Linked DNA regions of Macaca mulatta. The protein of the gene in region 7 purifies or fractionates together with the protein of the main gene of each other region. This does not show direct contact. Links are inferred from orthologs where the notes say so. Each region holds a gene or a part of one and is shown on either strand. Other genes may lie near its edges. The genes, in order: SEC22B, NAPA, SCFD2, NBAS, USE1, SCFD1 and STX18.

Evidence for each region.
Region 1: the proteins of STX18 (region 7) and SEC22B purify together in Homo sapiens (affinity purification with mass spectrometry; 5 studies listed by BioGRID and IntAct, counting the BioPlex papers as one, with this or other methods). This does not show direct contact. The link is inferred for Macaca mulatta from reciprocal best matches to the Homo sapiens genes STX18 and SEC22B.
Region 2: the proteins of STX18 (region 7) and NAPA purify together in Homo sapiens (affinity purification with mass spectrometry; 4 studies listed by BioGRID and IntAct, with this or other methods). This does not show direct contact. The link is inferred for Macaca mulatta from reciprocal best matches to the Homo sapiens genes STX18 and NAPA.
Region 3: the proteins of STX18 (region 7) and SCFD2 purify together in Homo sapiens (co-immunoprecipitation; 3 studies listed by BioGRID and IntAct, counting the BioPlex papers as one, with this or other methods). This does not show direct contact. The link is inferred for Macaca mulatta from reciprocal best matches to the Homo sapiens genes STX18 and SCFD2.
Region 4: the proteins of STX18 (region 7) and NBAS purify together in Homo sapiens (co-immunoprecipitation; 5 studies listed by BioGRID and IntAct, counting the BioPlex papers as one, with this or other methods). This does not show direct contact. The link is inferred for Macaca mulatta from reciprocal best matches to the Homo sapiens genes STX18 and NBAS.
Region 5: the proteins of STX18 (region 7) and USE1 purify together in Homo sapiens (co-immunoprecipitation; 4 studies listed by BioGRID and IntAct, counting the BioPlex papers as one, with this or other methods). This does not show direct contact. The link is inferred for Macaca mulatta from reciprocal best matches to the Homo sapiens genes STX18 and USE1.
Region 6: the proteins of STX18 (region 7) and SCFD1 purify together in Homo sapiens (affinity purification with mass spectrometry; 5 studies listed by BioGRID and IntAct, counting the BioPlex papers as one, with this or other methods). This does not show direct contact. The link is inferred for Macaca mulatta from reciprocal best matches to the Homo sapiens genes STX18 and SCFD1.

The regions. Positions count from the first base shown.
Region 1 is NC_133406.1:120,112,247-120,116,225, forward strand, and holds the start of SEC22B (vesicle-trafficking protein SEC22b precursor), read left to right. Parts: upstream 1-1,179; 5' UTR 1,180-1,312; coding exon 1,313-1,387; intron 1,388-3,979. UniProt on the Homo sapiens protein: SNARE involved in targeting and fusion of ER-derived transport vesicles with the Golgi complex as well as Golgi-derived retrograde transport vesicles with the ER.
Region 2 is NC_133424.1:59,984,924-59,988,944, reverse strand, and holds the end of NAPA (alpha-soluble NSF attachment protein), read left to right. Parts: intron 1-789; coding exon 790-858; intron 859-1,725; coding exon 1,726-1,776; intron 1,777-2,768; coding exon 2,769-2,870; 3' UTR 2,871-3,521; downstream 3,522-4,021. UniProt on the Homo sapiens protein: Required for vesicular transport between the endoplasmic reticulum and the Golgi apparatus. Together with GNA12 promotes CDH5 localization to plasma membrane.
Region 3 is NC_133410.1:80,243,676-80,247,175, forward strand, and holds part of SCFD2 (sec1 family domain-containing protein 2), read left to right. Parts: intron 1-1,663; coding exon 1,664-1,839; intron 1,840-3,500. UniProt on the Homo sapiens protein: May be involved in protein transport.
Region 4 is NC_133418.1:109,389,325-109,393,554, forward strand, and holds the start of NBAS (NBAS subunit of NRZ tethering complex), read left to right. Parts: upstream 1-1,430; 5' UTR 1,431-1,452; coding exon 1,453-1,569; intron 1,570-4,052; coding exon 4,053-4,107; intron 4,108-4,230. UniProt on the Homo sapiens protein: Involved in Golgi-to-endoplasmic reticulum (ER) retrograde transport; the function is proposed to depend on its association in the NRZ complex which is believed to play a role in SNARE assembly at the ER. Required for normal embryonic development.
Region 5 is NC_133424.1:17,695,893-17,699,930, forward strand, and holds the start of USE1 (vesicle transport protein USE1), read left to right. Parts: upstream 1-1,238; 5' UTR 1,239-1,285; coding exon 1,286-1,387; intron 1,388-1,679; coding exon 1,680-1,729; intron 1,730-1,867; coding exon 1,868-1,946; intron 1,947-2,043; coding exon 2,044-2,196; intron 2,197-3,331; coding exon 3,332-3,341; intron 3,342-4,038.
Region 6 is NC_133412.1:103,727,383-103,731,634, forward strand, and holds the start of SCFD1 (sec1 family domain-containing protein 1), read left to right. Parts: upstream 1-1,452; 5' UTR 1,453-1,464; coding exon 1,465-1,522; intron 1,523-4,252. UniProt on the Homo sapiens protein: Plays a role in SNARE-pin assembly and Golgi-to-ER retrograde transport via its interaction with COG4. Involved in vesicular transport between the endoplasmic reticulum and the Golgi.
Region 7 is NC_133410.1:8,445,765-8,449,724, forward strand, and holds the start of STX18 (syntaxin-18), read left to right. Parts: upstream 1-1,160; 5' UTR 1,161-1,178; coding exon 1,179-1,346; intron 1,347-3,960. UniProt on the Homo sapiens protein: Syntaxin that may be involved in targeting and fusion of Golgi-derived retrograde transport vesicles with the ER.

The DNA.
Region 1 (3,979 bases), on a different chromosome or scaffold from region 7:
GGCTTTCCTCTCAACTACAAACTGGAGATACAATACTAAACAAGCTTACTGGGTTGCTTAATTAATATCTAGAATATACTTAACAGTGTTTCTATTAATGTGAGAACTAACTGTAAGCACTTAGTAAAGAGTAGTCATTATTAAGTAATGATAAATAAAAGCATTTGTATGATTCTTGTTTTAGCTTATGAAACCCTTGCACCTAGATTTTCTCATCTAATATTCATTAAAACCCTGAAAGGCCGATAATATCCCCACTGTAGAGATGGGGACACCAAAGAACAAAGAGATGGGAACACCTAGATATATAAGAGATCCTAGCTTTTTTTTTTTTTTTTTCTCTGTCACCCGGGCTGGAGTGCAGTGGGGCAACCTCGGCTCACTGCAAGCTCCGCCTCCCGGATTTACCCCATTCAACTGCCTCAGCCTCCCGAGTAGCTGGGACCACAAATGCCCGCCACCGCGCCCGACTAATTTTTGTATTTTTAATGGAGACGGGGTTTCATCCTGTTAGCCAGGATGGTCTTGATCTCCTGACCTCGTGATCTGCCCGCCTCGGCCTCCCAAAGTGCTGGGATTACAGGCGTGAGCCACCGCGCCTGGCCTGATCCTAGCTTTTTGTAGGCTGACTGACCTAGGTGGTAAAAGATGTCCTGTACTTGTTCATTTATTCACACATACAACAAATATTTATTGACTTCTTACCATAAACTATTTAAGGAGCCTGGTGGGGATGCCGCATAAACAAACAAGCAAAAATAGACAAAAATCTTTGTCCAGAAATACATATAGAAAATTTTATAGAATATATAACATAGAAAATAGAAAAAAATATGAAACTAGCCTAATTTTCAGGGTTTTCATTTTTTTTACATACCTTTCATGGTTAACGGTTAATGGTTAATGGGGAGTACCCATTAACTCCCACCCTCCTTCCCAGCTCTCTCCCAAGACTTAGTTTCAAGAACTAGAAAATTCTGATTCAGCTTGGGTGCAATGCCCCTCAAAGGGCGAGGCTTATTCGAAGCCCCAAATTCAGAAAAGCCGGCCAGACCTTGGAAGTTTAAGAAGGTGGAAGGCAGATCGCGGAACCAGTGTTCTGATGGTTGTGGTTCTCTGAGGGAAGCCAATTCTGGGGACCGGTAGTGGAAAGCTCTTGCGCTGTTTCCGGCCACCTCAGCGGGAAGCGGAGACGCAAGCAGCTGGATCTCCGGTAACTGAGACATAGGGAATAACTGTTGTCGCGGCGGAGGAAGTGAGGACGACACCAACGGCCTTCCGGGCCAGTGTTGGATCCCTGTAATTTGTGAAGATGGTGTTGCTAACAATGATCGCCCGAGTGGCGGACGGGCTCCCGCTGGCCGCCTCGATGCAGGAGGACGAACAGGTGAGCTGCTTACTAGATCCCCGCGACCCCAAGTCTGCCAGCGCGCTTTGCCCTCAGCATCGCATTCCTTCCTAGGGCCGAGAGACCTCTGTGACTTCTCGGGCACTCCCGACCTCTCTGAAGTGCTATTTTATCTTTTGGTGTGGGAGAGACTACCGGTGAGAGGAATCTTTCCTGAAGGAGTTGTTCAGATTTTTGTGTTACCTGTTTCTCTTTAGAAAAACGCTCTGGAGAAGTGATAGCTTTGGTTGATTGTGATCACCCAGTGTTCTTTGACTCTTTAGGGACTGTTAAAAATCAGGATTTCTAATTTTCTGCTGCTAATAGGACTGCTGACGGATAAATCCTGGGACAAATCAGCCAAGTTCTTCAACTCTATAACGTAGCACCTGATCCTTGACCTAGCTTGCTGACGTCTTTTGAAAGTGGGTGAGGTAATATTGCCACATAAAAGCACTTGTTAAAGTTCAGTACAGCACATTCTTTCAGGATTATTCCCAGTTCCCACCTTCTCCAATACGCCGTACCACATTCCTGCAATACATTGTAACTTATTTTTTTGTCTTTCAATAACTTGAGTTTCCTAGCGGGCAAACGACGGATCTTAATCATCTCTGTTATTCATACCTTTTACAATGGCTGCTTTATGCTAGTAGGTGCTCAAAAATATATTGAATTGATTAAAAACAGCAATAACTCCAGGCGTCTTAAAAGAAAGCTGTTTTGTGTTTTAGAATCACAGTGGAAATTTCTGAAGACAAATTTCTGGAGCAAGCTTGGGAGGTTCTGAAGACAAAACTGACAATGGAATTTATATAATTTGTTTAAAGTGATCAATTTTATTTTACTTTTTCATACAGTCTAAGTAGTGTTTTAAAACCTTGAGCCTTAAAAAAAGATGAGATATAGAAAAAATAGGTTGCACATTTCTTCTATTGGACTTTTCATTCATATATTAATGCAAAAAAAATTTTACTGAGCACATCAAATGTACCAGGCATAGTGTTAATGCAGGGGGTTAGAGTACACAGTCTCTACCTTTGTGGAGCTTACAGTCTAGTGGAAAAATCAGATAACCAATATACTATTAAAATGTAGTTTAACTGCTAAGGAGAAGGAAGAGGGTTTTGTCGAACATGGAAAATGTATCTAAGTTGGTTTTAGGAAATGAGGAAAGTCTTCCCAGAAGGTATGACATTAAGGTAACAGTAGGATCCAGTAGTAAGGAACTATTCTCTTTAGTTATATGCCTTTTTAGGTTTGATTTGGAAATGTATTTACTTTCACTTTTAGGAGAGTGGTGATACAGATAATCAAGTTGCAGGTCATGCTAAGTGAAATATATTCTATTCATTTCATAAAAACAAAGTCTAATCTTTGAAATAAACTGTGAACAATTTAACATACCCTGATTTGCTAATGTGAAATGTTTTTCAGGAATATTCTAGGACCATCCTGCAGAAGGAATGTAATTGTTCCAGTGAACCTAGGAATATGATTTGAACAAAGTAGATAGTGTAGGGAAATATCCTTGAAGGATGTGTAGTTTGACTAAAAAATAGTTTTCCTATAGTGGGTGGGTGTGTGTTGGGAGTAGCAGGGATGGAATCTGGTCAATTTTTAAACTATGGCATTGAATTCCAGTGTGGGCAAAGAATACAAAGTGAACTGGAAAGTCTACTTAATATTAGTGGCCCCTACTCTCTAACGTGATACTTTTTGAAAATTAATTGATTTATTGTTTTTTAATTCTAAATTTGGTATTGATTTCATATTGGTTTATCAAGATGGATGGCTTTGTTTAATTGACAAGGAAAGAAATTTTACACACAAATATTTTTGTGATTGTAGTGCCATAATATTTTCCTTTAGGAGTTTTGACTTTGAATAATAAAGTTTGCCTAAACTTTTAATGTCTGTAAAAATCTGAATCTTAGACTTAATTTACTATTTTAATAGTATACATAACATTTATAAAAGTGCCTACTACATACCAAACACTGTGCTAAGCCTATAAAGTGCATTTTTAAATTTAATCCTCATACTACCATATTAGAATAGGTACTATTAAAATCTCCAATTATAGATAAGGAAGCTCTGAGGTTTAGAGAGGATAGATCGCTTGCCTAAATTCACACAGCTAATAAGTGGCATAATGAAATTTTTCATCAGGGTTTGTCACCTTGGCACTGTTGACATTTGGGGATGGATAATTCTTTGTTCTTGGGAACTGTCCTGTATATTGTGTGGGAGGTCCAGCAATATCCCTGGCCTCTACCCTCTAGATGCCAGTAGTACCACCACCCTTCCCCACTTCGTTTGTTTGTGTGGCAACAAAAATATTTCTAGACATTGCTAAATGCCCCATGGGGGCAAAATCACCCCGACTGAGATCCAGTGATTTTTATTAAGTATTGTCTGAGTCGACTAGAGCTTTAGTGCCTAACCACTGTACTTTACTGCCTTGTTCTAAGGCCTTTTCATGATGCCTTAACCTCTTAGGAGTCCAGGAATCACTTTTTAATAAACAGGTATCTCAACCAAACAGTTTTATATTTAAGCACCTTAATTGTCCAGGCCAAATAATTCAAT
Region 2 (4,021 bases), on a different chromosome or scaffold from region 7:
AGATCTTTGTGACTCCCGTTGTCACGACTTTAGCTGTAGCTCACATGCCCACCTATTTTCGGGGCGCTTGGCAAAAGAGGGGCCAGAGAGGGCAGTGGGAGGGGACGTGGCCAGAGGGAAGGAGCTGGAGGGTTGGTGCTAGATTTTGCTTGGCTGGAGTTTTCCTGCCATTGCCTGGCAGAAGCATGGAGTCCAGGATTTCCTGGTGTCCCTGGCTGCCCAAACCCCTGCCTCACGGCCTGGGGTGATGGCCCCACACACCCCCCACACACACACCCCATAGAGCCCTGCTCTGCTGTGGGCACCGGTGGTGGGCAAAAGCTTGGGCTTTGTCAGACCAGGTTCACATTCCCACCCCATGTCTCACCGTGCCCTGGGCAGGTCACTGCCCCCTCTGGATCTGTTCCCTCACTTTCAAAAAGGGGCTCACCGTTATTTGACCCTCTCAGGGTCCTCAAGAAGCACCAGCCCCAGGCCTGCCATGGAGGATGTGCTCATTTGTCCCCTGCCCCAGCTGAGCCAGGTGGGAGGAGGCAGTGGGTACCTGTCTGAGGAGCCTTCCCCCTCCACCCACCTCTCCCTGCAGCCGTCTCTGCCAGCCAGGCTGGTGCTGAGCTCAGCTGCGGGAAGGTACTGACAAACAGAGCCAGGTGACACCTGAGGCTAGAGGAGGGGCGCAAAGAGCTGACTCAGTATCACCAGACATCCCCAAGTCCCCTCGGCTGCTAGGCCAGCAGCTCTGAGGGCCCTCTTGTTACTAACTCATCCTCCCCCTTCCCTGCTGCCCAGCTGGCTGTCCAGAAGTATGAGGAGCTGTTCCCAGCTTTCTCTGATTCCCGGGAATGCAAGTTGATGAAAGTAAGTGCTGGGTGCTCCAGCCTCCCCCTTCCCGAACCCCAGATGGGGGTGGCCGGGGCTCCAGGTGGGACAATCATCAAGACTTGTCCAGTGGTTCTCAGAGGGTATGTTTATTTTGTTTTCTTTTCTTTGGCCATTTGACTCTCCATTTTTCAGATAAAGAAAGTACAACTTGGGGAGTGCTGGAGCTCGGGATGGCTGGGTGAACACACACACACACACCCCACATGCACATGACACACATCCCACACACACACCACACCACACACACTACGTACACCACACACTACACATACCACATACACCAAACACTACATACACTACACCAAACACTACACACACCACACCACATGCTACACACACACCACACACGACACACACCTCACACAATCACTACACACACCACACACACACACACGACACATTACACGACACACCACACACATCACACACGACACCACACATACCACACACGACACACACCCCACACGACATACCTCACACACATAACACACACCACACGACATACCTCACACACATAACACACACCAAACACACCACACACACACCAAACACCACAGACACACACACCACAGACACACCACATATCCACACACACACACATTCTGTGTGATGTTCTATGTTGGTAAGGTTGCCCTGAGAGCTAGCCGTTTCTGATGAGTAGGGCAGCAGGATTGCAACACGCCCCTACCTGTCCCCAGTTTAACCCACATGGACTGACCCTCTGAGAGTCCTCAGGAAACCCCAGCCCCAGGCCTGGCATATAGATAGTGTGTGCTTTCATCTAATCCAGGCCGACCTCAGGTCAGCCTGGGCCCCAGACCCCTCTCTGCCATTTCCTTGCAGAAGTTGCTAGAGGCCCACGAGGAGCAGAATGTGGACAGCTACACCGAGTCGGTGAGTGGCCCGCATGGGGGTCAGGCCCCTTCACAGGGATGGGTCCCCTAGGAAAGCCGCCCTTCTCAGACATGCTCTCCCCTGACATTCACCCATTTTTATCTGGCCCCCAGCCCACTGTGAATTTCTTTCTCCATTCACCCCAGAAACCTCACAAGTAGCCCCAAGAGATGCAGGGAGTGTTTTCCCCATTTTACAGATGGTGGCCTTGGCACCTCAGGGGCAGAGCTGGTGTTCAGAGCCACATCTGTCTGCTCCTGAAGACCAGGGTTCCTTGAGTCCCCCAGTTGAGTGTGTGAGACTCACAGTGGCCGCCTTGGGCACCCAGGAGGCACAGACTGGGAGGGAAAGGGTGAGAAGGAGAGTGGAGCTGAGGACACGGGAGAGGCGCCAGCTTCCCTCTGCCTGGTGGAGCCGCCCACGTGGCTCTCTCTCCCTTCCCTTTCTCTGTTCCCAGCGTTCCTGGGCTCAGTGGCGTCCGGCTTATAGGTCCTGATTCGCTCCTCTAATGGCACATGTCAAGCATTTCTCCCCAGGTGCCCCTTGGGAATGGAAGCCCCTAGCTGAGGACAGCGAGCAAATGCCATCCGGTTCCTCTTGCCCCGGACAGTGGGTGGCAACTCAGCCAGGAGCTCAGGGAGGGGATGCCCAGCAGGCTGCGGCTTCTCTCTCCCATGCCCCATGGCACTCAGGAGTGGCCTTTTCCGTATCTCCAGGCCTCAGTTTCCCACCCATTCAATGAGGATGCTGGACCTTTTTTTTTTTTAAAGCTACAATCCCTCTCCCCCAAGGGAAATGTTGTGCCTAGCATAGTCAAGACAGACAAGAAGGAGCTCCCCTGGCTGAGTCGGGGCCTCGAGCCCTCCCTCTGCTCCTTCTCAGAGACCAGGGTGACAGGGACAGATCTTGAAAACCTTCAGACAAGTGCCCTTGGGCTGCAGGGTTGGGAACAGGGAGGAGCATGGCCAGCCCATCACCTGGTGTGCCCTCAGGTGAAGGAATATGACTCCATCTCCCGGCTGGACCAGTGGCTCACCACCATGCTGCTGCGCATCAAGAAGACCATCCAGGGCGACGAGGAGGACCTGCGCTAAGCCCCACCCAGCCTCCCAGCGCCCGTCTTCGTGTCCCATCTGCTTAGAGAGAGGTGGGGCCGAGACTTGCTGGAGAGCTTCCCTCCTTTCCCACCTGGGGAGTCCCGCAGGCCACAGTGGGCAGGTGGCAGCGGGGGTCAGCATGCGGGGGCACCAGAGGCCCAGGCTGCTGGCTGGACAGTCACCCTCTGCTCTCGCTACATCCCTTGCTCCCTGCCCATTTATTTAAGCCCCCATAGGTGCCCTTCACCCCCAAAACCAGCTGTACAGAATCTTTGATACAGACCTATTTGCTAGGGGTGCTGCCGGGGGTTTGGGGTCAGCATCTGGCCCCCCATCTCCTGACCAGCTGATTCATGAGGCCGGTTTCTGTCTCTCCCACTTTTGTCCCCCAGCCAAGCTCTAAAGCACATGTAGCCGCTGAGACTTGCTGTCTCTACGGGGGGAAGCTCCTCTTCCCCCAAACTCTGGGAGCTTCCCCCAGCCTCCTGCAGCCCCGACCTCTCAGGTTAGACCCCGGGCCCTGGAGCTTAGGGGGTTGTCCCCGACCCCAGCCCCACACCTGCTCCTTCCCTAATGCTTTGAGGTTTTCTTGGTTGGAAGCTGCAGCTGGCCCGAGAAAGAAAATAAAAAACAACACTTTTGCATGAGTCTCTCTTCCTCCTTGTCTCTGCTACCCACTTTGCCCCTGGGCCGGTCACCTGTTCTCCTCACACTCCTGGTCCCCCAGACTCTGGGCAAGCTCTTGGGAGGTTGGGAGCATGCATCCTTGAAACACGTGTGGGCTGGGTCAGTTTCTAGGTTGGGGAGACCCAGGGATGGTGGGCCTGGGGAGGAGCTCTGGCTTGGAAGTCCCAGAGCGCCCATCTTGATCTAACTTTCTCTGGGTTCTTGGGGTCCAGGGACCTTGGTTTCCTCAACTGGGATGCATGGTGATGATGCCACCCCTCAGAGCCAGTGGGAGGGTCGAATATGACAATCCTCATGACTGCTTTGGATGAGAATGGGTGGAAGCTCGCCGAATCTCCCATGTCCACATTTCCCTGGCAGGAAGGCTGAACGCCCCGGTGACAGTTGTTCCATCTGTCACAGGACGGGGGAGGAAGCGGCTTTGGTGGGCAGAGTCTGAGGCCCGAGTGGGTCTGGGGAGT
Region 3 (3,500 bases), about 72 Mb from region 7:
ACAGGGCTGGAATTGGGGAAAGTGAATGGACTACCAAGAAGGGGAGCTGTTTGGAATGATGGGAATGTTCTGTACTGTGACAGTAGTATCCAACCATATCCATTTGTCAATATTCATAGAACTGTACACTAGAAAAGGGTGAATGTTCCTGTATGTAGAAAATACCTTAATAAACCTGATAAAGAAATCAAAGTATTTATGAGGTCTTTTTTCTATGAGTACTTGAGCAAGCAAATTGTTAGCTTGCTGCTTTGAGAATCAGGAGCAAACCCATGCTTTACCAAGGGACTAAAGATACTCGTGAGACTCACTCTCCTACTTATCATTCCCACTGTTCTTTTTCTTTAAATGCTTACCCTGATAAACTGGTAATGAAGAACTTAAACATTCTTAATCTCTTCAAAAAATTAATGAAAAGATAGAAAGATATGTTGTAGGCATTTGAGTTTCATGTGGCGAGGTCTTTACTTTTAGCAAAAACCATTTATTAAGTAATATCTGCCATTTAGCACTGGGTAAGACATTGTGTTCTTAGCATGTCGGGCAGGGCTAGTAGACGCAGCACAAGCCTCGTTTGCTACCTCAAGGAGTTGCCATGAGAATCAGTAAAGGGTGTGTTTGTGTAAGCACTGTGTAAATTGCTAAATAAATGCAGGTGGTTTCATTGCCAAATATTTAAAAACCTCGGAATAACAAGCAAATAAACTTGGATTTCAGTATCAAAGAACAACCCACAAACATGGCGTGGGTGAAACATAGGAATGAATTACTTGGCTTACATCTATGTTTGGCCCCAGTGCCTTCTTGCCTGGTGGGGAGAATCTGGTGTCCAGGAGCTTTGCACATAGCATGGAGGAATGGCAGGAATGAAATTTCATAGACTGGAGAGTGGGAGGAGACTCAGTGGAAAGACTGCTACCGGCAAAACTTGGAGTTAGGGGCTCTGAAGGAGTGAATCCTCAACAGTTTGTGTGTTTGTAGATGTACATGTGTTTTATACAGTCTCTGTCCTTTTATGAAGTGGACTCTCTTGTTCTAAATGTAGGTGACCATTGTAGCAAATGTGCTGTTACCCACACCAAACTTTTCTTCTGATACCTCCTCTTCCAGTGGTTTTGCCGCCCTAGTTCTTGATACATTTTTGTTCCGTGTAACTGCTTTTATCCTCATGAATATTGTCATGAAGTCACTGATATCAGTGGCAAAGTTTTAGGTACAGTCATAACCTATTTCTCATCTTCTTTTATGTATATACACACACAATTAGAAATCATACCTTTTTCCCTCTTAGGTTGCTATGTCATATGTCATAAAGAGGTACTCCAAGTTGAGCTCAACAAATATTTATTTATATGACTTTATTTGAAAACTTATTTACAGAGTATTACATAATGATAAAATGAATTCTACTAGCAATATGACCTTGACCAGATCCTTAACTAACATCCCGGTTTCTTTACTTGCAAAATGCAACTATTAATAATAGTACCAATATTGCTCTTTTCACTATATAGTTGTAAGAATCACAATAGCTTAGGAAAGCTTGTAGTCAACTCTGATGTTCTGCCCAAATACAAAACAGTGGTATTATTAATGGAATCCTTCTCATTATTTGTACTATTCCCAGAAAGGGGTACACTGATAAATTCTTATGTTTTTCCAGGGAGAGTCACACCAGGACAGCTCATGTCCTATATTCAGCTCTTCAAGAACAACCTCAAAGCTCTAATGAATCACTGTGGGCTCCTCCAGCTTGGGCTGGCCACAGCTCAAACGTTGAAACACCCACAGACTGCCAAGTGGGACAACTTTCTCGCTTTTGAAAGACTCCTTCTTCAGGTATGTTGCTGTGGGTACTTCGTGGGATCTTAATAATTAATGTTTTGATTTCCAGGGAAAAACTTTGACATTTATTATAGCCTTAGTAATAAATCATATTGTTGACATGTGCCCTGCTTCATATTCTCTAAGTGCCCCCGAGTTAAAGTTCAAGTAGAAACTTTTTTCACACCTGTTTAAAAAAATATTTCGACAGTAATGTCTTTGGCTTCTTATTCAATACTAAGGATGTTTTTTGAGCATTGAACTAACCTCTGGAAACCTCTTTCAATTTTATGCCATTTGGACCTTTCTCGCTCTTCATGGTGTCTTTATTTGATCCTTGCTACTTTTTCTGTAGCATATTACTACTATTCACATTTCCTCTGACATTACCTAGTTTCTAGTCCTTAAGCAACACATAGCATGTGCCTTAAAATGGCGTTTAGTAAAAAATGAAGGAAGTGATCTCCATTTGTAGTGTTTATACAGATATTTGTATGTGGGATAGGAACTTTTCATGACTGATGAAATATTTTCATGGGAAACTTTTCAAAAAATATGTAGTATGTATTTTTTAAAATTATAAAGTAGTTTTTAAAATTATACAGTACTTTAAAAAGGGATAGAGGATTATAAAGCATAAATGTACTAAAACGATGAGTATCTGTAAACTTTCCACATAGACTCAATATGATTTATCATTATTTTCATATCTGTCATGGATCCTTTTTCATTAAAGAAATAAAACTAGAGATAAAGTTGAAGCATTCTTGATACTATATAACCATCTCTAATTTGATTTTCCTTTTTCTTTCCCTAGAGATAATTACAAGCTCAATTCGTTGTTTTTACATTTTTATTAAATATTTACTTTTTCATAAATAATATAGAGCATTTATGCTATAGGTTTTAATTTTACATAAGTGATGTTATACTATAAATATCCCTAAATAGCTTGCTTTTTTCTCTCAAGGTTCTATTTTTAAGATAATCCAAAGTGATGGGCTAGGTGCAGTGGCTCACGCCTATAATCCCAGCACTTTGGGAGGCTGAGATGGGCGGATCACTTGAGGTCAGGAGTTCGAGACCAGCCTGGCCAACATGGCAAAATCCTGTGTCTGCTGAAAATATAAAAATTAGCTGGGTGTGGTCGTGGTCATCTATACTCAGGAAGCTACTCGGGAGGCTTAGGCAGGAGAACTTCTTGAACCCGGGAGGTGGAGGTTGTATTGAGCTGAGATTGTGCCACTGCACTTAAACCTGGGTGACAGAGGGAGACTCCATCTCAAAAATAAATAAATAAATAAATAAATAAATAAATAAATAAAGTGATGTATGTAGATCTAGCTCATTCCTTTAAACCACATCATAAATATACAATTTATTTATGCAATCTGTACTGTTGTTTAGTTAGGCTGTTGCATTTGTGCCCGTGTGTGTGTGTGTGTGTGTGTGTGTGTGTGTGTGTGTGGTGTGTATGTATGTGAGATTAGGAAGAATTATGCAGTGAATACTCTGGAATATGTCTCCTGTTATATATTGTTGAGTTTACCAAAGATTGCCAAAAATGTTGAACCAGGTAAGGCTAAAAGCTGTGTCCTCTTCAGGATGTCAATGAGCTCCCTTCATTATCCCAGAATGTCTAAAATGTCACAAACATACATCAAGAGGCAGAAGAA
Region 4 (4,230 bases), on a different chromosome or scaffold from region 7:
TGGATATTATGAAATATAATTATCTCAAGGGATATTCAATATTTGTTTCTTTTGATGTAAAACAGTGTAATACTTTGTACAGTATATATTCATTAATGTTACAATAGGCTCTGCTTATAACTGTCCACAAAGAGGTATTTGTGGAATGAATGAATGAATGAACAAATGGGGTTGACCTTTTCACTCCCTCCATGCAGGTTCTCAACCTATTATTTAAACTTTATTGCCCCTACACCCTTTCTCAACTTGGGTTCTATTCACCTGTCTTGTTGAGTACTAATTAGGAAAAGAAAAAAAAAAAAAAAAAAAAAAAAAAAAAAAAAAAAAAAGGCAGGCTAGTGGGAGCAGGAAAAAACAAAGAGATAAGGCAAGTAAGCATAAGCTATACATCTGCCTTTCTTCATGGTCCAAAACATATAAACAAAAGGAAGAAACAAATAAGCCATAGGTCTACTTTTCTTTATGGCCCAAGACATATGGCTCTTCTAACCAGATAACGTACTTAACTCACAAACTTCCTGCTTACCTTCAAACGCCTCTATTTATCAAACACTTCGGTTGACAAAAAAAAAAAAAAAAAAAAAAGGAAAAAAAAGCAAGTTAACTCCCTGCTAACTTGGTGTTATCAATCACTCCAAGTTCCAGTCTATAAAATTCTCAACAAGCCTTTGTTTCCTAGCAATGAGCTCCTCCTCTGCTGATTCTGCGCGCTGTTCCCTGGCAACGATCTTTCATACTTTCTTTAATCTGTCTTTTTTTATCTACTACTGTCTTGGTAAATTCTTTTACTCCCACACCCAGAAAGTCGTCGCTCACTCGCGACACGTTGAAAGAGTTCTTTCAACTCTGTACTTTTGCCTCTGTCTCTGCTCATCCCATTTCCCCCTACTTGAAATGCTTCTCCAGTGGATTAACATTCTGCCAGTTGTTAAAGACCTAGGGACAAGCTCCACGTCCTCTAGGAAATCCCTGCAGACTCTGGCCTTCGTTGCCTTTTCTGAGCGCCCGTAGCATCCTTCCTCTGTTACCTTTCATTGGCTTGATCCCCTGCATTGGATAACTTTGGTGGCTTATTTTAAAACCACTGTTTGAACTCTCTCTACGTGCTAGGCAAAGAATACACAAATGAACATTAGCATTTCAGTGGGGTACCTTTACCGTTTCTGTTTTATAGAAACTGACTTGATAAGACAGGCTCAGTGACTTGGCTGATCTCACGTAGATTAATTAACAAGGAACGCACCAGGACTGGGACACAAGTCGTTCCCAAGACAAGCAATAGTCCTTGTCCTTCCTACTCATAAAAGGGTTAACCTAGCATTTCCTTGCCGCGGTCAGGGTCAGTTCACTCCACTCCCTTCCCCGTGAATCAAAAGCGGCCGCGGCTAGGGAAGCTTGTCCTGTGAGGGATTCCGTAGAGGCGCTCCTCCACTGCTTGAGTCCCGGGCGAACATGGCGGCCCCCGAGTCAGGGCCGGCTTTGAGTCCAAGCGCTGCAGAGGGTGAGGAGGAGACGATTCTCTATGACTTGTTGGTCAACACCGAGTGGCCACCGGAGACTGAAGTACAGGTGAACCAGGCCCGTCTACAGCAGCAGCCAACTTGACGCGGGCGCTTCGTGGGCAGAGCCACGTAGCAGGAGCCACGTAGGGGAGTGAAGCCGGGTGGGCGGGGGGCCTGATGGCTTGTGTGGTCGCCCTGGCAACGGCACCTTGGGCTACCGGGGGTCTGGGGCTCCTAAGGCGGGGTGGGGTCGTGGTCCCTGAGATTCCTCCTGGGCTCAGAATTCGGTTTTTGGGGGCTGGAACTTCGTGTTCTGCGGAGCGTAGGATCCCACTCTGGTTGTTAGTTTCTCTCTGTTTTCGGAGGGGTGCAGATTGTTAGTTTCACTCTCTGTATTCGGAGGGGAAGGCACAGCGCTGGACTAAAGGGTCCTTTCTCCTACCTGGACTCTCGGTGGTCCCTTCTCGCAGTCTGGCTAGGGCTAGTACGGGCGGACGCTTAACGGTGTGAGAATTTTCCAGGACCTTACAGTCTTCAGCATCTGGCAGGCTGCTGCAGAGTGCGGAATCTGAGCCTTTACAGCTACCTGGGGCTGGATCGCGCCAGTTCTTGTGTGTAACAATAAAAGAGCATTTAATAAGGGTGTGCGTGTCCGTTCGTCCGTCTCGGTGTCCCAGATGCTGTGCTAGGTGCTGAGGATACAGAGATAAATATGCTTTCGTGGAGCTTCTCCTCTAGAGGGGAGACAATCCTGTAAACGTTATTCATAATCTAGCGTTTTATGCGCTATAGTTAGCGATGTGAGCAAAATGCCACGGAAGTGAAGGGTAAAGAACTGCTGACTGGGATTGGGATCTCCGCTAGAGAAGGATTATAGAGGTTGATAATTTATAGACTGGATCTTGGGATTATCAGTTATTTGGTAGTGAGGGCCTCCCGGGTCTGTGGTGAAGAGTAGGAACCACGGATCCATGTTTATTTAATAGATATTTATTGAGTGCTTAACACATGCCAGTTACTGTTTTGGACCCAGAGGAAGCAGCCAGATCGAAAAGAACCTTTATTAAAGATTATGTAGTCCAGCCCATATGAGTTATCTTACATTTTTTTATGAGTGTTTCTTTGCTGGAGAAACGACTCATTTTTCAGCCTAAAGTTTGTATTTTTTTCCCCTGTAGCCTCCTTCCCACTGCAGTTTGTGCTTATTTTGAATAATGTATTTTGTAGAACGGGTAGAGATCTGCATGTTTTGCCGTTTAATTTCAAGTGCTTAATTTGTCTTAATGTGAATATTTTTTGGGTTATGCAGCTAGGAAGGTGTTGCTGCGGCAGCTGGTTAGATAAGTTTCCACTCCTTAACACTCATTGGTTAATTGCAGTAATGTTTCAGAATGCTTAGCATAAATTGATTCCAAAAAAGTAACCACAGAATTAACTTACTTTGAAACCCTTAGCACTTTGTTTTGTGTTTATGTGTTGGGGGTGGGGGAATTCTATTGATTTCTGCATTCTATCGATTTCTGCATTCTATTGATTTCAGCTGTTGAACTATAAGCTCTTGGAGGGCAGCTACATCTGATTCATCTTTATATCTCTCCCCAGGGCCAAATTGTGCCTTGCATGAATCCCACCATCAATTCTTGTTTGTTGAGTGAAATAACTTTTCTGTTTTTTAAAAAATCTGTCTACACTTACTGTGTGTCCATTGTGCTTTTCTTGACAGCACTGTAGTGCACCTTATGCAGTGCCTAGTGTCATGAACCTACCCACAGTGTGTTCAGTCTATACTTATGGAATGGAATTATTTAATATAGCAATTACGTATCGCTGTATGTTTTGTTAGTAGCATTGTCTGGATGGATATACAACAGATAGTCAATGAATTTGCCTTGGAGATATGACCACTTTTCCTGTGAGCAAAACTTACAGCTTCAATAGAGTGTGCTGAATTGGCAACCAGTGTGGTCTTTGGCCTTGACTTCTCTTGTCTTTGGATTGGTATTTGATTTGGAAACAGTTTCTAGCTTCAATCTTTGTTCTTACCTGCAAGGTTAGTCCTGACATGTGCCTGTAGCTCTGCTATGCTCCCTTTACTCCTATTGTCCCCCATCCTGAGTCTACCTTTTTCTTTTTTTTTGAGACAGGGTCTCACTCTGTCACCCAGGCTGGAGTGCAGTGGCATGATCAGGGCTCACTGTAGCTTCAACCTCCCAGGTCACCTCAGCTTCCCAAGTAGCTGGGACTATAGGCACGCACCGTCATGCCTGGCTAATTTTTGTATTTTTTGTAGAGACGAGGTTTTGCCATGTTGCTCAAGCTGGTCTGGAGTTCCTGGGCTCAAGCAGTTGGCCCACTTTGGCGTCCCAAAGTGCTGGGATTACAAGCGTGAGCCACTGCACCTGCACATTCAGTCTTTAAGTAGTTTTAAGACACTGCTTCCCTGTGCCCAAAACTCTGGATATTAGTAAATAAAAATAAGTTTACATTATATAAGCAATACTAGTCTAATACTAGAGGATTCAAATGTAAGGGCTTTGTTTTAAATTCCAGCCTAGAGGCAACCGAAAGCATGGTGCATCCTTTATCATCACGAAAGCAATTCGAGGTAAATATAGCTTATTTCTCTACAGTAATGATATGGTTAACAGTTAAAATGTGTTCTTTAGACTTCTGGTGTGGAGACTAATAAAAGTGACGTGTTATCTGAGTTTAATTATATATATATATA
Region 5 (4,038 bases), on a different chromosome or scaffold from region 7:
ACTGGTGTGACCAAGGTACAGATGATCTAAGGTATGGGAAAACATGAGGGCTGCATGCCAGGCCCTGGTCCCTGTGAAGCCCCCACCCTCATCCTCTCACTCCAGAAGCGTGGCACTGCAGGCATAGGGGTACTCAGCTTCCAGGTAATGAGGTGGGCTGGGAAGGGGTTCTCTCCACGGGGGTCTGGGCGTTAGGGGGGACCCAGCCCCACCTTGCTCACTCTGAGGCAGAGCTGCCCCATATCACCCTTGAGGCAGGTACTGTCACACTGTACATTTCCCGGGGGAAGAAACGGATCAAGAAAAGTTAAACTCGCCCAGGGCCGGGGATGGAATCAGAGCTGGAGCTGTGACCTGGAAGCTCATAACCACAATACAGATGAGCCCCGCTGAGGTGGGGGAAGCCTTGGATTCCTGAATTCCAGGCTAGAGCCCCTCCTACAAGAGAAATCGGGAAGGGCCCGCGGAGGTGAAACAGCTCCGACTGGGAAGAATCCAGGTAGTAGTGGGGTGGGGGGAGGTACTTCGAGCAAGCAAAACAGAACAAGAGGGCACAGTGCAGGGGGGTCTGACACCCGAAGATCCCGGTCGTCCTATCATTCCCGAAGGGTTAACACGCTCTCGAAGAAAAGGAAGTGATTCGCCTGAGTAAGAAAGAATGGGGTGGCGCCTCTCCTATTTTTTTTTTTTTTTTTTTTTTTTGAGACGGAGTCTCGCTCTGTCGCCCAGGCTGGAGTGCAGTGGCCGGATCTCAGCTCACTGCAACCTCCGCCTCCCGGGTTCACGCCATTCTCCTGCCTCAGCCTCCCGAGTAGCTGGGACTACAGGCGCCCGCCACCTCGCCCGGCTAGTTTTTTGTATTTTTTAGTAGAGACGGGGTTTCACCGTGTTAGCCAGGATAGTCTCGATCTCCTGACCTCGTGATCCACCCGTCTCGGCCTCCCAAAGTGCTGGGATTACAGGCTTGAGCCACCGCGCCCGGCCCTCTCTCCTATTTTTTTTTAAATAGAGGTAGGGTCGCGCTATATTGCCCGGGCTGGCCTCGAACTCCTGGCTTCAAGCAATCCTTTCCCAACTCCGCCTCCTAAAATGCTGGCATTACAGCCCTGAGGCAGCGCGCCCGGCCCAGCGCCCCGCCTCAAAACAAGGTATTACTTCTGCTCCAAACAAAGATGGGCCAGCGAACGGGAGCAGGCGAAACATCCGCCCGGAAGGCCACTTGAAGGCACTTCCGCCCTCTCTTAACATGGCGCCGGCGGAAGGGGCGGGGTAGGGCCGGGCGATAATGGCGGCGTCGAGGCTGGAGCTGAACCTGGTGCGGCTACTATCCCGCTGCGAGGCGATGGCAGCGGAGAAACGGGACCCGGACGAGTGGCGCCTGGAGAAGGTGAGGGGATCTCGCACTGCCGCGTAGAGTCCGACTCCCGGGGGGTGGTTCCTAGGGTTGGAAGCCACCTAGCCGGACTCCCCTGCCCCAGTAGCCTCTCGGGCAGCGCCCTTTCCGGTCAGTCCCGCCACGTCTACCTGTAGCTTCCGCCCCCGTCCCTGGGACTCCGCCCCTCCCCCACTGGCCCCGCCTCCTTTGCGCTTGACCCCTCCCATTTGTCGGCCCCGCCCCCCACTCCCATGAGCAGGACGTGGGAACGACCCCCGGGTGACAATCCACTTTTCCTCCCCAGTACGTGGGAGCCCTGGAGGACATGTTGCAGGCCCTGAAGGTCCACGCGAGGTGAGTGCAGGCAGCCTTACTGCTTTCACATCAGCACGTGGCTATTCTGGGACATCCCAGTACCGCTGTCCCAGCTGGGACCCTTCCCTGAGCTGGGGACCATGGACAGGCTTTCTTTTTCTTCTTCCTACCTCCCAGCAAACCGGCCTCTGAGGTGATCAATGAATATTCCTGGAAGGTGGATTTTCTGAAGGGGATGCTGCAAGCCGAGAAGCTGGTGAGAAGGGGTGCCCCTCCCCCTCAGCCCCCATCACCGCTCACTTTCGTCCCCAGGACCTGCCCCTCCAGTGACTTCTCTTCCCACATTTCTGCAGACCTCCTCCTCAGAGAAAGCACTGGCCAACCAGTTCCTGGCCCCTGGCCGTGTGCCAACCACAGCCAGAGAGCGAGTGCCCGCCACAAAGACGGTGCATCTGCAGTCACGGGCGCGGTACACCAGCGAGATGCGGAGTGAGCTACTAGGCACGGTAGGGCTCCTTTCCTGGTCCCTGGGAACCCCTTGGACAGGGACGGGGGTTCTATGCCTGCAGGCAGCCGGAACCACAATACTGTCAGATACAGGGGCTCTGAGGGGGTCCAGCAATCGCTTCCCTGGGTCATCACACAAGGCCGCCCAACAGAGGGGCACTGTGGCTAAGGCTTTGCTAGATGAATAGCAAATTTGGTACAAGGCAAAAATGGAACGTGTCAGGTTAAGCCCCAGAGTTGGCCCAAGAGCAGGGTTTGAGTCCTGGCTTGCAACTTACAAGACACGAAAGTTTCTTCAGCTGTAAGAGAAGATGACAAGTTCCTTTCTGAGCACTTTATGTGGATCAGCTCAATCTTTTAAAATATGAGTTGTTGTGGCGGGGCGCGGCAGCTCACGCCTGTAATCCCAGCACTTTGGAGGCCAAGGCGGGCAGATCATTTGAGGTCGCGAGTTAGAGACCAGCCTGACCAACATGGAGAAACCCCGTCTTTACTAAACATACAAAATTAGCTGGGCGTGGTGGCACATGCCTGTAATCCCAGCTACTCAAGAGGCTGAGGCAGGAGAATCGCTTGAACCTGGGAGGCAGAGGTAGCGGTGAGCCAAGATTGAGCCATTGCACTCCAGCCTGGGCAATAAGAGCAAAACTCCATCTCAAAAAATATATATATATGAGTGGTTGTTACCAGTTTATAGTTGAGGAAACAGGCTCAGAGGTCATGGGATTTCCCCATGTCCTGACTGAAGGTGAAAAGGTTGAGATCAGAAGGGACAGGTTTGGGAACAAGACAAGGGGGGTGACTTCATGGCATTTACTTTTTTTTTTTTTTTTTTGAGATGGAGATTCACTCTTGTTGCCGAGGCTGGAGTGCAGTGGGGCGATCTCGGCTTACTGCAACCTCCGCCTCCTGGGTTCAAGAGATTCTTCTGCCTCAGCCTCCTGAGCCATGGAATCACAGGCACCCCTACCACACCTGGCTAATTTTTTGTATTTTTAGTAAAGATGGGGTTTCATTACGTTGGCCAGGCTGGTCTCGAACTCCTGACCTCAGGTGACCTGCCCACCTCGGCCTCCCAAAGTGCTGGGAGTGAGCCACCGCACCCAGTCTCATGCCACTTACTTCTTTCCACAGGACTCTGCAGGTGAGTCACCATGAACACAACAGGACTTGAGGGCCAGCTGCCTAGGACAAGACATACATCCTTGCTGCCCTGGGGCCTCCATGCCCAGCCTGACTCCAACAGCAACATAACCAAATTACACGTGGAGGAAGAGCCAGGACAGAGGAAATGACCCCGAGAGGAAACAGAGCTAGGCACTCCTGCCGGGCACAGTGGCTCACACCTGTAATCCCGGCAATTTGGGAGGCTGAGGCAGGTGGATCACTTGAGGTCAGGAGTTTGAGACCAGCCTGGCCAACATGACCAAACCTTGTCTCTACTAAAAATACAGAACTTAGCCGGATGCAGTGCCGCCTGTCTGTAGTCCCAGCTCCTCAGGAGGCTGAGGCAGGAGAATTGCTTGAACCCAGGAGGTGGAGGTTGCAATGAGCTGAGATCACACCACTGCACTCCAGCCAGGGTGACACAGCAAGACTCCCTCTCAAAAAAAAAAAAAGGAAAAAAATTAGCCAGGTGTGGTGACGCACACCTATAGTCCCAGCTATTTGGGGGGCTGAGGCAGGAGGATTGCTTGAGGCTGGGAGGGGGAGGTTGCAGTGAGCTGAGATCGTGCCAGTGCACTCCAGCGTGGTTGACAGAGAAAGACTCTATCTCAAAAATAAGCAAATAGATAAATTTGTTAAAGCTAGGCACGCCCAGCCTATGGGACCAAGGCTAG
Region 6 (4,252 bases), on a different chromosome or scaffold from region 7:
ATTATGTAATTCTTAAAAGGTAAAGATTGTAGGTCGAATGCTAGGATGTTTCCTAATAGCATTAAAAATAAGATAACCTATTTTAAATGTCACAAAAATAAAGTTTTTATTAATGAAAAAAGCCATTGTTTCACACTATAAAACAGTCTTACATAATCGTTAGGCTAACTTCATTTCATTTATATAATTTTGAAAGTCAAGTTTTTGAGGCAGAGTCTGATTTCATTTCAGAATTTGGTGCAGCTTCATAATGAAGTGTCATCAATGAACTCGGGAAATGAGCTGTCATTGTGTATCCATTTTTGTCATACAGTAAAATCTATAGATTAAGTTAGAAATCCCGTAAATTTTGTGGTCATGTGGCTTCAAGTGTACATTAAACAGCCAGCACAAGACCAGCCTGGCCAACATGCTGAATCCCCGTCTCTACAAAAAAAAAAAAAAAAAAAAAAAAAAAAAAATTAGCTGGGCGTGGTGGCACCTGTCTGTAGTCTCAACTACTGGGTTGGCTGAGGTGGAAGGATAGTTTGGGAGGATTGCTTGAGTCCAGAAGGTCGAGGCTACAGTGAGCTGAGACTCTGCCACTGCACTCCAGCCTGAGCGACAGAGTGAGATACTATCTCAAAAACAACAACAACAAAAAACCAGCACATCAGCCTGTCCTGATGGTGTGCCGCTGTAGTCCCTTGCTACTTGGGAGGCTGAAGCAGGAGGATCGTTTGACAGTCGGAATTTGAGGCTGCAGTGAGCCCTGATTGCGCACTTGAGCCTGGGCAACTTCCTTCCCACGGCAATGTGATTTTGCAATTACTACAAGGAAAGAGGAGAGATGCTAATTTCTCATTTTGTACCTCCCTGGATCCCGTGTCCATGCCGGCAGAACGCCACCATAAAGCTAGACCCTTTTTTTTTTTTTTTTTTTTAAGAGATGCGACTGAGAAATATGCCAGATTAGAGTGAAGCTCCAATGCTTTCTGTTTCTCTGGAAAAAGGAGCAAAGGGAAGACTCCTGCTGCACTGAGAAACTAGAGCTAACGTTAAAATGTTGCCTGTGTTTCAGGAGCTTCATTTACTTCAGTCCTGTGGTCCTTATACTCCTAGAGTATTATCACCCCGTCAGTGCTCTGTAAGCCACCAAGCCAACAGTTCAGTAATTAGGTTCTTAGCACTACACGCTCCTACCCTAAGAGTTCAATTTAATGTTGCTACCATTTGAGAGAGTGTGGCTTGATAAGACAGGATAAAAACTCGTAGTATTCGGCTAACATTACGGGCCACTGAGTTAACCTGCACCGGCTCTCCCAGTTCTATCGAGAGTGGAGGTCTTCCTCGAGGAGGTGGAGTCCGGCCCTCAGGCACGCCCTTTTGCCCCGCCCTTCCGGGCTTTGCTTCCGGGGCGGTAAGGGCAGCCACGTCATCCCCCGGCTCCGCTCGCCAGCCGGGCAGTGGCTCGTGGGAGTCAAGATGGCGTCGGCGGCGGCAGCGACAGCAGCAGCAGCCAGTATTCGGGAAAGGCAGACAGGTACTGACTTACTCTCTTCTTGAAGCTTCGTGACTGCCCCGACGACATTCTTCTCCTGTGCTTGTCGCCCTCACTCGGTCGTGGTGCGTGCAGCTCAGAGAGCGATCTCCGGGAGTTTAATCCAGTCCCTAGAACATCAAGAGCCCCTCCCCTTTGAGTTTTTGGGGAGAAGATGCCATTAGCTTGACTCGGTTCCTCCTGTGGTGCAGGAGAAGGAGCTTTAGCGGTGGGCAGATTGCTATGGCCTTGCTCTTGTCTCCTTCCTAGTGGGCATCAGAAGGCCATCACAACAAGATCTAGCAGCAGATAGCTTCTTATCTATGTTGCCACCTATGAGGTCTCCGAGTTTGTTTCTGTGCGTGGTTCAGTTCTGGTTTTGATTTTTGAGAGAACTCCCATTTTCTGGCACTTCCACCACAATTACAGAATTTAGGTATTTTCACAGCGGCCTGCTTTGCGCCACTTCTCTACTTCGGACCAGCCTTTTGGGGGTACCTGCAGAAAAATGCCTGGTGATAAAAGATTTTCTCCTTCACCTTGCTGGAAGGCATTGAGGAATTGAATTAATAGCTTTCTCATTTTAATTGTTTGACAGATTATTGTTTTAAAATAATATTTTATCTTCAATAGAGCATGTTTATATAGCTTGTATTTATGCAGAGAAATGTAAGAAGCTACATATTCTTGAGTTTTGGGGTTTTTTCCCTCTTAGAAATTAGTTTTGCCTTATTTGAAAACTTACGACAACTTGGTTTATACCTGTGAGCTACAAACTAAAGGTTGAACTAGTTGTCTTAAAAGTTTTCAAGCCATTTATTCTGAGGAGCTAATAGAAATAAGGCGTCAAGCATGTGCATACTTGGAATTCTGTTTGCTGAAATTATGCCCTGTTGGATATAAATATGAATAGAAAAATGAATTTATAATTCATATGACCTACAGAAGGAATTTGGGCTGTACTTGATTCCTTTCTTTGGCATTTAAAGAAATTAAAGAAAAATGTTAGACTTCAATCTAGTAATGACACACAAAAGATGCTGAGTTGCGTTCTGCTTTTCCCAGTAAATAATTTAGTGTAACCTATCAGGTGAAGTCAGGCATAATCAAATATAGGGAAGTTCAAATAAGATTTGGGGCATACCTGCCATTCATTGTATCTGTTTAAGCAAATAGAAGCTCCATTTGTTTTAATGCTGTGTTTCTGATGACTATACTACATATTAAAATAACGTGTCAGTGAAACTGTACCAATACAAGAGAGCTTTTTGAAAAATAAATTTGCATGGCAGTAAACTTGTATGCAGAAACTTTGTAGATCATTAAAATCTAATCGTTTGTATTTCTGCAGAAATGAACATAGTTGAGATTTTACAGAATTACTAGATAGATTGTGCTAGATCTATTCTTTATCATATTTTTACTGTCATTGAATTCTGCCTCATTTTCAGAGGAAGGTAAATCCTTGTGTATATATTGTAATACAGAATTAGCTATTTCCCTCATGCCTATTGAGAATGTTTTGGGAAATAACTCACAATCCTCAAATATTCTCGATACTGAAATATTTGGGTGGATGAGATAATTGTTAGCATTTATTGAGCATTTACTATGGTTAGGCATTGCTTTAGGTGATTATGTATTATTATCTCCATTTTACAGGTGAGGAAAGTAAGATAGAGGTAAACTAACATGCCTGTTTCTTGCTTTGCCTGCCTGAAAAATCTTTATTGGTCTTTTGAATGTCATCCCACAAGCTCACAAGCTATCTCCTTTCTTCCAGGTTTACTGTCCTCTCTATCCATACCTTCAGTTCAACAGGTAGAATCAGTTGCCTCCTGCTTTGTGTTACTGTTGTTCTTCATTGAATGCGTCTTCGTTACAAGTTCTTGCACATCTTCCCTGCTTCTCAATGTTGCTGGGTCCCATTAGTGTTAGCATCTAGCAACTTAGCTTTCAGTATTCTCTATGTTGATGATTCCCAGGTTTATATCCCTAGTCTGGCCCTCCCATCTGAACTCAGTCTGCTCCATATCAGTTAATGGCAGTTGCATCCTTTTAGTTGCAGGTCAAAAACCTTGAAGTTTTCTTGACTTGTCTCTTTCATGTCTCATGTAAGATCTTTCAGTAAATCTTGTCAGTTCTACTCTGAAAATACATCCAGGATCTGACTGTTGTCATTGCTATTTCCAGATCCTATCCACTATGAATTTCTGCAATAACCTATTTGGTCTCCTTGCTTTTACGATCCTGTTCTCCTTCGTTATTTTTCACACAGTACCCAAACTGATCATGCCATATGTTTGCTCAAAGTCTTCCAGCTTCTTCCCATTTCAACCATGATAAAAGCCAAAGTGATCTTACAGTGTTCTACAAGGCCTTACTTATATGATCTGGTTCCCATGTAGCTTTTGGACCTCATTCCCTATTTCTCTTCCCTCTCCTTGAACCCACCAGGAATGCTCCCACCTTCGAGCCTTTGTATTTGTTTCTTCTTTGTGGAATACTGTTTCAGAGAGAATCTCCATGGCTCACTCCCTCATTTCCTTTAGGTCTTTACTCAGATGTTACCTTCTCAGGAGGCCTTCCCCAATTACTCTGTTTAAAATTACACCCCAACTCCATCTTCCTCTTTCCCAATCTTACCTTTCTTCATAGCACTTACCATGATCTACATTCCATGTGTTTTACTTATTATTATCTTTTTTTTATTTTCCCTATCCCCCAATTAGA
Region 7 (3,960 bases):
TGTGCATCCTCTTTATGGAAAAAAAAATCTTGAAGAAATCAATGAGATTTTGAATATCCTTAGGCCAGCCATGGTGGCAAGTGCCTACAGTTCCAGCTACTCAGGAGGCGGAGCCGCGGAGGATCGTTTGTGCCCTGGCGTTCCAGTCTGTAATGAGCTAGGATGGCGCCTCTGAATAGCCACTGCAATCCAGCCTGGGCAACATAGCAGACCCCCATCTCAAAAAACAACACAAAACAGAACCATGAACCAAAAATGCAGAAGAAACTCATTGACTGACTTGTCAATTTTAATAGCTATGGCTCAAGACGGTACAATTAAAAACTATGCATGAAGGAAGAACAGAATCCAGCGACATTAGGGCCACTCTTTCACCTTTGCCTCCATCTAAAGTTCCTATTCATCCTTCAAATCTCTGCACAGGTGACGCCTTTTCTCTACAGCCTCTTCCATCACCACAAATACGAGTGATTATAATAATATTATTAACGATTACTACCATTTATTGGCCACTTACTAGGAGCCAAGCAACATCAAAACACAGCACGCGTCAGCTCACTTAATTTTCACAGTAAACTCCGAGGAGGATGCTGGCTTCACTTTACAAAGAGGTGACTGAAGGGTGGAGAAGAAAGACCTCTGGCCTCTAGCTCTATGCCTTGCACATCTGCTCTGTCTCAGCACTTATTGCACCCCGAGGGTCACCGTCCAAGTGCCTCTGTCCTGCTCAAGGTGAGTCCTTGCAGTCAAAGGTCAAGGGTGGCTCGCCTCCACGTCCCCCGCAACCAAACCGCCCGCTCTCAGTGAGGGAGCCACCAGAAGGGAAGGAGCCTCCCAGCTTCCCGGTCCTCACGCTCCCGGAGCCCACACGCCCCAAAAAAGCACAGGAGAGCTCGCTGAGCTCTCCGCGCTGCTAAACCCTCCAAGCTTTGCCGGGAGAAAGAGGTGCCCGTGAGCTCGTCGCGGGGTTCCTCCTCCGCCAGGTGCGCCGCTGAGTTCGGAATCTTTTTCCTCCCGCCGCGGTAGCGGGGCTCAGGCCGGAACCTTTCTTCTCGCATCGCAGTTGCCGGTGGGGAGGAGTGCGGGGCAGGACCAGTCCTCCAGCGGCCGGGTTCTCGCCGCGGTCGCCGGCTGCTTACGTGAGCCGGCCCAGTGTGGGGCTGCGGGTACGGGTCGCTATGGCCGTGGACATCACGCTGCTATTCCGGGCCAGCGTCAAGACCGTGAAGACGCGGAACAAGGCGCTGGGAGTGGCGGTGGGCGGCGGGGTCGATGGAAGCCGGGATGAGCTGTTCCGCCGGAGCCCCCGGCCCAAGGGCGACTTCTCCAGCCGGGCCCGCGAAGTGGTGAGCTGGTTGCTATGGAAACGGCGGGTTGAGGAGGGGGCAGTCCTGCGACAGGGACCCCGAGCCCCAAACCACACCCCGTCCCATAAGCATTGTGTGAAGGAGGTGGCCCCAAGGGGGACAGGAGAGTTGGCCTCAGAGACCGGACAGCTTTTTGGGGAAGGAACAGCCTTATTTTAAGGAAGGGGGACGCATATTGGGGAACAGATTTCTCCTGCGGCGGCGGGGGTTGGGGGACGAGGAAGGAGACCCTCAGAAATCTCTATCTGGAAAGTGCACGGGCGGCTTTGTGAGGTCATGAGTTCGCCGTCACTACAGACTTGCACTCAGGGGAAACCTCACTGTCCTTCACTTCCTGTTGCAGAACTGACCACACCGTATTTGCCTGTGCTCTTTACTTGTCTGCCTCCCATCCCCAGATGAGATTAAAAACCATATTCATCCGAACTCTTTCTTCTCTTTGTCTCCGCGATAAGTAGGGCTCAGTTCCTCTTGAGACGAGTTTAGGGTCATCTTTCGCAAACACGGTGTTACAGTCATCTCAACTACTTTCTGTTCCCTGATCAGAGCAGGTGTCCCTTCATTTCTCTGGGAACAGGAACCTTTTCCTTAAGGGCAGGGACAGTTGTTTTCATCTCACAATGCATGACTCATAGCATTGCTTAGTAAATGTTTGTTGAATGAATGAATGAACAAAATGGCTGTCTTTCCCGTTAAACAGAAAATTCCATGAGGGGAGAGATGTTTGTCTTGTTCCCTTTTGTGTCCGTGACACCAAGGAGGGATCTAGGTTTTGTGGGGCCGAAAGTTTTTATAGTTATGTCTGCCGTCTTTAAGAAATAAAAATCACCAAGAGAGATTCAGAGCTTTGGAAGATGGAAGTGAGGGACCCCGAAGCTAAAACCTCATTAATTTCACAGTAAATCCTACTCTGCTTGGCATACACTTGGCACTGCATAGACACTCAGATGTTTTCGAATGAATGTATGCATGCATGCATTAATGACAGTTAGCAGAGGATACTTAAACATCAGAAAGGGGTTGGACCAGATGAATACACTCTCCCTATTGATGAACATCTATGAAGCACCTACTTTCTGACCAGCCTCATGTTAGAGTAATATGATGTAAAAGGAGTAGTGGAGTAGACGGACATAGACATAAAACAAGTGCCATAAAGCCTTGCAAGTGTTATGTAGGGCACAAAGAAGAATGTGGTCAGTTCTACCTGAGGATCAGAAAAGGCTTTATAGAGGTGATGATGCCCAAAACAAATCTTGAAAGAGGATTAGTTGGCTGCAGTGCAGAAGGGCATCTCAGGCTAAAAGAATAGTATGCGCTAAGATGTGGAGGTGTGTAAGAGTCTGATATAAGTTGGTTCAATAAACATTTGAGTGAGACTGGTATGTGGGACTCTCATAAAAATTGGACCGGGAGAGATCTTAAAGGGCTTTGTATATCACTGCGGAGTTTGAATTTTGCCCTCTAGGCCGTCAGATGTTATATGGTAGAGAAAGTACCAGAGAAGGAGCCAGGAGACCAGGTTGTTGTCTGAACCCTGCAACTGTTAGCTATATGATTTCATTAAGCAAGTGTCAAGACCTCAGTTTATTTACCTGTAAATGGTCTTTTTTTTTCTCCTCCTCCTTTTAAAAAACTACCCTGGTCCTCTATATATAACAAATTAAAGTGGAAGCTTCCTAGGCTGAAATGAGAGGAAGAGAAACAGGACACTCTCCCTCCCAGTTTGGCCTAAGCACTTCCTGGGGTTCCTTTTGTAGAACCGTGGTATGAATATCACAGTATTGGCGTTGTAAGGGTCCCTTCTGACTCTGAAACCACTGATTTATGAACACTGTGCTAATTTTGAGTCCTGCTCAGGGAAAGGGGGGATTTGGGAATGGTCGAGACAAGAGGCACAGTTGAGTTGGCAAGCCCTTTGGATAGCCCTGTGATCACTTCCACCGCTCCCTGAGTGGTGAAAATGTGTTTTAGACTTTTGAGTTAATGGGCCTCAGGGACAGTAACAGTCCTGTAGGGTGCTGAGTTCCCTGTCACTGGAAGTAATTAAACAGAGTGATGACTGCTTTTCAGAGATGTTTGAGAAGAACTTTGTGCATATGTCATAGGTTTGGACCGCGTGACAGTGAAACTTCCAATTCTGCTATGTATTGATGTGAGTAGGTGTCACATTACCTTAAGTGAGTACATGGGCTGTGTTGTTCAGGGACACTGTCCCCCTGACGTAGAGGAAACATACATTCTTGTAAGCAATTTTGATTTTGTGTTGTCATTGCTTTGCGTATTATCTCCTGTTCTTCCAACCATTCCCCACTCCCCATCTTCTTTTGTGGGAATTTTAACTAGAAGAGCTAGTGATGGATGTCCTGTGCTTTCACTATGATTAGATGTGTCAAAAGTTTGCCTGTTATTTTGTTTGGCCTGGATTCCTTATACAGAAAAGTCTGGTCAATACCAGAAGCACATATTCTAATTCAGGTTTAGCCCTGGTTGTCAGACTTAATGAAATGTAGTAAGTTATAGTATGCCTTTTGGTAAGTGCCTTCCTTGAAGCATTTGCTGTTACTTCTAGGATGCGTTTTAATCTGGTTCA